2 linked regions of the Canis lupus familiaris genome follow. The main gene of each other region encodes a partner of the protein of the gene in region 2 in a complex. Links are inferred from orthologs where the notes say so. Each region holds a gene or a part of one and is shown on either strand. Other genes may lie near its edges. The genes, in order: SMURF1 and SMAD1.

The links.
Region 1: the proteins of SMAD1 (region 2) and SMURF1 are in contact, whole or in part, in an NMR structure (PDB 2LB1), measured with the Homo sapiens proteins. The link is inferred for Canis lupus familiaris from reciprocal best matches to the Homo sapiens genes SMAD1 and SMURF1. Residues at the interface, in NP_001003688.1 of Homo sapiens: Asp221, Thr222, Pro223, Pro224, Pro225, Ala226, Tyr227, Leu228, Pro229, Pro230, Glu231, Asp232; in NP_065162.1 of Homo sapiens: Glu313, Val314, Arg315, Ser316, Arg321, Tyr323, Val325, Asp326, His327, Arg330, Thr331, Thr332, Gln333, Phe334.

What each region holds. Positions count from the first base shown.
Region 1 is NC_049227.1:10,465,893-10,469,797, reverse strand, and holds the start of SMURF1 (E3 ubiquitin-protein ligase SMURF1), read right to left. Parts: upstream 2,906-3,905; 5' UTR 2,669-2,905; coding exon 2,614-2,668; intron 2,130-2,613; exon of another isoform or gene 2,053-2,129; intron 1-2,052. UniProt on the Homo sapiens protein: E3 ubiquitin-protein ligase that acts as a negative regulator of BMP signaling pathway. Mediates ubiquitination and degradation of SMAD1 and SMAD5, 2 receptor-regulated SMADs specific for the BMP pathway.
Region 2 is NC_049236.1:44,385,008-44,388,912, reverse strand, and holds the start of SMAD1 (mothers against decapentaplegic homolog 1), read right to left. Parts: upstream 2,368-3,905; 5' UTR 2,262-2,367; intron 25-2,261; exon of another isoform or gene 1-24. UniProt on the Homo sapiens protein: Transcriptional modulator that plays a role in various cellular processes, including embryonic development, cell differentiation, and tissue homeostasis.

The sequences.
Region 1 (3,905 bases), on a different chromosome or scaffold from region 2:
CAATGCTCTCCTCACCACCAAATACAACTGTGGACCTCAAATTTTAAAGGCTGTTTTATACTCCAGTGTCTTCAGATGTTGCCTGGAATTATACTCTGTGTGATATTAATTACTGGTTAGAATGCCCCTTGTTTTTTAAAAAAAAAATTTTTTCAAATATCACGCATAGAATTAAACTCTAAATCTTGTAACAAGAGTATACAACTTTTGAAAGATGGCTACCCAATATGCCAGAAAAGAAGAGATTTTCAAACTGCCCTGGACAACCTTAAAGATGATGCCAAAACCTACTCTACACCAAAACATCTGAGGTTCCAGCACCTCAACATAAATTAACATTCAACAGACAACAGACATGGATCTGCCATCACCACTAAAAATCCTGTTGCAGGGATGACCACACTCACACATCATCCCAATCACTAACACCAACAGGGATGAAGGGAAAGGGAGCTTTGGAAATAACACTCATCACTTGATCCTTCAGTATCAAATGCCATCCAAAACTCTTCAAAGCATTTCTGTATCTTTGGCATGTAAATTTCTGAATCCAAAAATAATTTGGGAGGACAAACCAAGCCCTCCCTTTTTCAAGGGAAAGGCTCAGACCTGCCAACTTGGTTTGATATATAAATGTGTATATGATACAAACATTGTAATGAGAACCTATTCCTTCTGAAACATTAATCACATTTCTACCAAAACTCATGAAATCAGTTATTTCTGCTTTTAACAAGAAAAATGAAACCAATCTGATGTCAATTACAGATTACACTGTAAATTAGAATCCAATTAAAGTTGTCAGTAATTAAAGTTTTACAAGCATTACAAAGTCAAAAACATGTCTTTCATGTAACCATAAAAATAACAATGCTTTATACTGTATCTACATAGTGAGAAGCATTTCCTCCTGGCCCTGGAACAGAGTATGTTCCTCCAGAAGCAAAGATCCCTGGGACAGATGGCTGTTACTTCACACAACCAGGGTCTGGATTTGGGTCCAAATCATTACCTGGCCGCCTTATCTTGTAACCTAATCTGACATCTTTCTACAAAAAAAAAAAAAAAAAAAAAAAAAAATTACAACACTTTTCTTGAGAAAAATGTGAGTCACGCAACAGCTCCGTACTTTCAAAGGAAACTTTCGTTTGAAAACGATCGCCATTGTTATTTTCATGGATTTTACCGAAATTAGGGCTACGCATCTGCCACAAAGTGTCCAAAACTCTCATTTGCTCTCTGAAAGCATCCGACCGAACTCTGACTCTGGGGTCCTCACCAGACTGGCCATCCAACAGAAAAATCCAAGGGAAAGCCCCCCGACAGGAACTAGCCTGAACTTTGTATTTCCCTTCCAGGGCTGGAAATACTCGAGTCCGGAAAGTCCCCTGGCAGACGCGTGTCTGCGGCCCTACGATCCGGCCTAAGGTGTGAATCTGAACGGGGAGGCGAGGCCGCAGCTCCGTGGCCCCGAGGGCCGGGGAAGGGGCCGCCGGCGAGGGGCGCATCCACCCGCGGCCGAACCACCGCGTCGCCGGCCGCAGCCGAGCTTCGCGCTCACCCTGGAAGGTGGCACTACAGAGCCTCCGAGGAGACGCGGGCACTTCATTGAGGACTCGGTGAGAGTGAATCGAGGAGCCGGCGTTCGTGCAGCTGCCACAGCCTCCAGTGGGGGGCGGGGGACCCTCAGCCCCACTCAGGGCTCTAGGATGGGGGGGCAGTGCTGGGAAAGTGCAATGGGGGAAGTACCGGGGCAGCACGGCAGGCAGCCGACAGTGGCCTGGCCCGAGGCACAGAGGAAGTGGGCCAGACTCAAGAGGTCTGGAGCAGCGGGGAAGTGAAGAGAACAGGACCGGGACACGCCACACCACAGGACTGAGGAATTCGAGGCTGAAGGAAAGGGTGGAGGCGGCGAGACCCAGCGAGGGGGCGGGGCTGCGAGATAAGCAGGGGCGGGGCCTAGGGGGAAAGGGAGCGAGCCCCGCCGAGGAGAATAAAGGGGCGGGGCCGGGAGGGGAGAAGCCGGACGGGGGGTAGGTGGGGGCGGGGGGAGTAAGAACCGGGAGGGTAGCGGGGCGAAGCGCCGGGTACCGCGGAGAAGAGGCCGCCGAGCCAGAGAGGATGGGGAGGTGGGGAGAAGCGAGGGGCGGGGCCGAGAGCGAGGGGCGGGGCCGGGAGGGAGAGCGAGGAGGCAGGTGAGGGGAGAGCGGGGAAAGCGAGGGGGAGGAAGGGGGCTGAGCGGCGGGGGGCGGGGCCACGAGGGGGGCGAGAGGGGAGAGCCCGCGGCCGGGTGGGGGCCGCGAGCAGGGAGGCGACGGGGCAGGTGGGGGGGGCAGGAGGGGAGCGGGAGGGCCGCGGTGGGGGGGGAAGGTGGGGGGTGAGGAGCGAGGGGGCGGGGCCGGCAGCCGCGAGGGGGCGGGGCCGGGAGCGCGGAGCGAGGGGCACTCGCCGAGGGGGGTGACGAGGTCCTGGGACAACGGCCGGCGTGGGGGAGGGCCACTCCACCGGGGCGCTCTGCGGGGAATTCCGGGGCTGCTGGGGGCCCGTGCGGGGCGCCAGCGGGCGCCGGTGGGGTGTGCGGGGGGAGGCGGGTGGGCCTCCCGCCGGCCGTACCTGTCAGACGGATCTTAATGCTGGAGCCGTTCCTGCGCGTCCCGGGGTTCGACATCTCCCGCCAACGATCGGGCAGCCGCGGATCCAGCGCCGCCGCCCCCCGGCCCGGCCCGGCCCGGCCCCGCCGCCGCCGCCTCAAGGTTACGGCTCCGGGCTGGGCGCCGGGGTCCGAGCCGGGACACAAACTCCGCGGCCCAGGCGTCCGGGCGGCGGGAGGATGGTCGAGCCGGGGGATCGGCGCTCGACCCGGCGCCCCCGACCCTCGCCCGCTCCCAGCCGAGCCCAGTCCAGAGCCGCCGCTGCCTCCGCCGCCGCCGCCACCGCCACCACCACCTCCTCCTCCTCCTCCTCAGAGCCGGACGCCCGCCGCCCTCGCCGCTTCCGCCGCCGCCGCCGCCGCCTCCCGGAGCCGCGCGCGCTCCCGCCGCCGTGCCGGCCCGGCCCTGCGCGTGCCCGCGCCGTGCGCCCCCGCGCCTGCGTGCGTGCGCGCACCCGAGAGCACGCCGGGGCGGGGCGGGGCTACGTCGCAGGCCTGGCTAGGGGCGCGCGGGGTCTGGAACCAGTGGCGGGGCCTGCCCACGTCCTCCCCCCGGGAGCCGGGCGAAGGAGCTCGGGGCCTGGGAGCGGAGCTCGCCCTGGAGGCCGGGGGAAGGCGAAGCTAGGGTGCGGGGCCACATGTGGGCCCTCGAACCGCCACCCTCAGTCTTCGCCACATTGTCCAAGGGAACAGGTTTGCAGATGCGGACCGAATTGATTTTCCGGGTGTCTCTCCAGCCTCCGGGGCGCCCGCCCCCCCCACATAGATATTGGAAGGAGGATTACGTGAACCCGTAGCCTGTTACGACACACCAAGCACCTTGCACAAATAGGTACCACTTTTTCTTTTTTTTTTTTTTGAGTAGAGCTTTCAGAGAATGCAGTTTCAATGGAGAGACTTCTCAAAGACACAAAAGTCCCCTACGTGTGTTCTGTGCAAGGTAGTGCGCTCTGTTGACCCGTTACACTTGCCAGAATCGCTGGAAGTGCCATATATGGACAAGGTAAACAAGATGGGAGAGAGGGATAAAGTTGAGTAGATGTTTGTTATGATCCAATCTGCATACAATCCAAACCAACAAAGGCAGCTTTACGGCCTTGGTTTCCCCGCCTTCTGCTAACACATCCCTCCCAGGATTGCAGAGTTGAACTAAAAACTAACATTTTCCCTCCTCCCAGAGTTGCAGGGTAGAGCTAAGAGCTCATTAGGCTTTCTCCAGCAAACAAACTCCTCTCTTTGTTAACCTGTAATGGAG
Region 2 (3,905 bases):
CAGCAACGAGCCCGAGGAACACTAACAAAGGCGGCGAGCGGAGTAAATGAACAGTTGTTCAACAGCGAACTCACAAATACACATGCAGTGAGGCAATCGAATCCGGTAAAGGGAAAGGAATGAGACGACACTTGGAGGCGCACGGGGTGTAGGCGGAAGAGAGAGGGGAAAAAAAAAAAAAAAAAATACGCGCCGCCGCCAAGCCTTTGAATAAATTAGAGGGAATTTCGGTGCGAACTTTCCTTGACCTCGACCCCCAAGAGGCTCGCTGGGGCAGGGAAAGGCCCCCGTGCGGGATGCGGAGGCGCGCGGGGCACCGGGGGCCCCTGGAGCCGGCCCCGCTCGGCCGGGCGCCCACCGCGCGGAGGGCAGCGCCCCGCGGCCGTCCCCCAGCTCCCGCAAGGGTCGCCCGGGCCGGCGGGACACAATGGGGCGGCGGGCGGCGGGCGGCGCGCACGGGCCTCGGCCCGGCTGCGGAGGGGGAAAGAGGGCGGGAGGGGAGGTCCCGCGGCGGCCGGCGCCGGGGAGAGGCTCGGGCGGAGGAGCGCGGCTTCCCCACGGCTGAGCCAACAAAGACGCGAGGAGAACGGCGCCGAGCCCCGCCTGGCCGGCCGGGCGCCACAGCGGGAGCGGGAGCGGGAGCGGGAGCGGGAGGCGGTGGCAGGTCCGCTCCTCGGCGCGGCCGGGAGGCGCCATCATGGGGGGGGCCCGGCCCGGCCCGCCCCGCGCGGGGAAGAGCCCCCTGCCCGCCGCGGCCCGCGTCACCGGCCCCGCGCTCACCCCACGGGAGGCGGCGGCGGCGCTGGAAAGCAAGCGCCGGGCGCCGAAGGAGGGCGGGGACGCGGCCAAGGAGAAAGTTGGGTGCGGGTCTGTTTCGTTTTACCGGGTTGGCGGCGCGCCCGTCCGCGCGGGCGCACGAGGGGCCGGACGAGCGGGGTCCCGCGGCCCCGGTCCGGCCGGCGGGGCGCTGCGCTCGCAGGGTGCCTCCCCGCGCCTCGGCCCGGGCTCGGCCGCTCGGCCTCCGCTTCCTCCGCCCGCCCGCCCGCTCCCGGAGCCTGGATTGATCTGGTCGCGCTGGCGTCAGGGAGTCGGAGCCGCCCAGCCTCCACTCGGCGGCTGCCAACAGCCGGCGCACTCGCCCGCCCGCCCGCACGCTCGCTCGCTCGCCCGCCCGCCCGCCTGCTCACACGCGCACCCGCGCGCCGCCGCCGCCGCCGCCGCCGCGCGACCAGGGATCCTCTCCAAATTCCCGGCCGCTGAGCGCGAGCGCGGGGCCGCGGGGCCGGCCACCTCCCTGCTCCCGCCTCCCCCAGCCCGCCCCCGGCCCCACGCCCCGTTGACTCCAAGGAGAAAGAAACCAGCCTTCTTTCCCCTGCTTCCTGGAGTCCCGGCGGAGCGGGCTTGGTGCGTTATCCTCACGTGAAGTTCGAGGTTTAGTCTTTATTTTCTGAACTACTCATCACCCGCCCACCGCGCCCTCCGAACGCTACCACCGCACCCGCGGGGCGCGTTTCTGACCATTCTCTTTCAGACCTCTCCTTTTCATGTCCAGTTTCCATTGCCCTTCACTTTTGCACGCCCCACAAGTTGCACGTACCCAGAACTGGATAGCCTAGTGCTGCTGCATCTGCTTACACCCACCCGTATCGCTGTTTTGTGTTTTGGGCCAGTTCAGTATGTGATGACTTGAGTGGGTAACGTAGTGGTTCTAAGTAATGGCAGATGCCACAGTGGAACTCAACTTTTTTTTTTTTTTTTTTTTTTTTTGGGATGGAACTCAACTTTTGATCCGATTTCTATAATCTTTTATATGACACCAACCCCCTAAAATAAAAACAGACTGGCTCTCATCTAACCTGATCTGCATAGACCTCGAACATATCTTTTGTAAGAATTAATTTTTCCCTTGGCTAGCTCTCTGGAAGCTGGCATGAAATCTTGGATAATTACCATAATGTTGAGTTATGTTTAGAGAGGAATGATTACTCTGAGGAATAAATTTCTCACGAACTCAAAGAACCATTACCACCAGTATAAAGAAAATATCAAAGACCGAAGGAAGTTAATGGTACTCTCCAATTGTTCATGCACCTTTACATGTCCACAGTCTATTTTAAATTCATATTTCTTAATTTATTTCTGCATTCCATGTTTAATTATTCAAAAGAAATGCAACAAGCCCCATAAGACATACAACACTTTGTAAATTATAGATCAGAATATTTCAGTTCATCTCTTTGTTAAGCTATTTGAGCACTTACTGGTCAAGTCTTGGGCCTCATCTTATTTTCCCTAAAAGCAGCATTTGACACAGTTCATCATTCTCTGCTCCTTGAAACAACAGCTGGCCTGAGCCTTGTGAAATGCCACTCAGATCAGGTCACTCCTCTGCCCAAAACCCTTCCCTGGTAAATAGAACGTGCTGTATACACAATGGAACATTATTCAGTCATTAACAAGAATGAGATACTGACACATGCTGCATGAATGAACCTGGAAAATATTGTATCACATGAAAGAGGCCAGATACAAAGCCCACATATTTGATTCATATTGAAATACCCAGAATTGGCCCATCTGTAGAGACAGGAAGTAGAATGTTGGTTGCCTATGTTTGGGAGGATAGGGAGATCGAGGAAGAGCGATAGCCAAAGGTTATCGTGTTTCTTTGGGGGGGGGGGCGTGTAAAAAATGTTATAAAATTAGTCTGTGATGGTAGTTACACAACTCTGTGGATATATTAAAAGCCATTGAATCGTGCACTTTAAATGGGTAGATTAGATGGCATGTGAATTTTGTTTCAATAAAGCTGTTTTAAAAAGATACAGCAACTAAATGTAGTGTGTGATCCTTAATTGGACCCAGGATTGTGGGAGAAGCTATGCAATGACAATAAAACTCACTTTTTATTTTATAAAAATTATAAAATTATTACATTTTAACCTACACATGACCTTGCTTAGTACAGTTCTGATCGCCACAAATGACAATTATTCACACTGCATATGCTATGCAATTTGATTTTACCCTTTGTGCAAGTTATTTCTTTAAATGGCGGCAATAAAAAATTGGATACTTTTTTCAAAAAAGGACATTATTTGGACAATTGTCAAAGCTTGAATATGGCTTGTGTATTGATATCATTGTATCAGAAAACCTTCCCGTGGCTCCCCATTTCATTCAAGTAAGAGTTCTCACCATGTGTACAAAGCCCTCCCTGATCTGTGCTCCCAACTCCTTCCTACCTGATCTCCTACTCTCTCCCTTGCTTACTTCCTCAAGTCAACCTGGCCTCCTCACAAGTCCTGGAGCAACCTGAGTCCAATCCCATCTCAGGGCCTCCACAGTAGCTGTCTCCTACCTGGAAAGCCCTTCCCACATGGCTGTGGGCCTTCCCTCACCCCTCTCAGGTCTTCATCCAACTGTTCCCCTCTCAATAAGACCCAGCCTGGCCACTCTATCTAAACTTTTACCTACCCCTCCCAAACACACATGTTTTGTAATCCTCTTTCCCTATCACTACCTAACTACTTAGCTGAAAGAACAGGACTTTTGGTCTGTTCGGTTCATTGCTATTCTCTCAGAGCCTAGAACAGTATCTGGCACCCAGTAGGAGCTTATTAAACACCTGCTGAATGAATGAATGAATGAACGAACAAACAAATGTGTGAGGCACTGTTCTAATTACAAGGCATATAGTTACAAACTACACAGATAAAAAATCCCTGCTCTCATCAAAGAAGATAAATAATGAATAAATACACAAATATTCTAGGTGGTGGGTGGTACATGGGAAGGAAGAAGCAAGGTAGGAGGGATTGGGAGCAGGGGTGGGTGCTATGTCTATAGGGGTAGGGCAAAGCTCCCTAACAAAGAAGTCTTGAAGGAAGACAGGGAGCATGCCA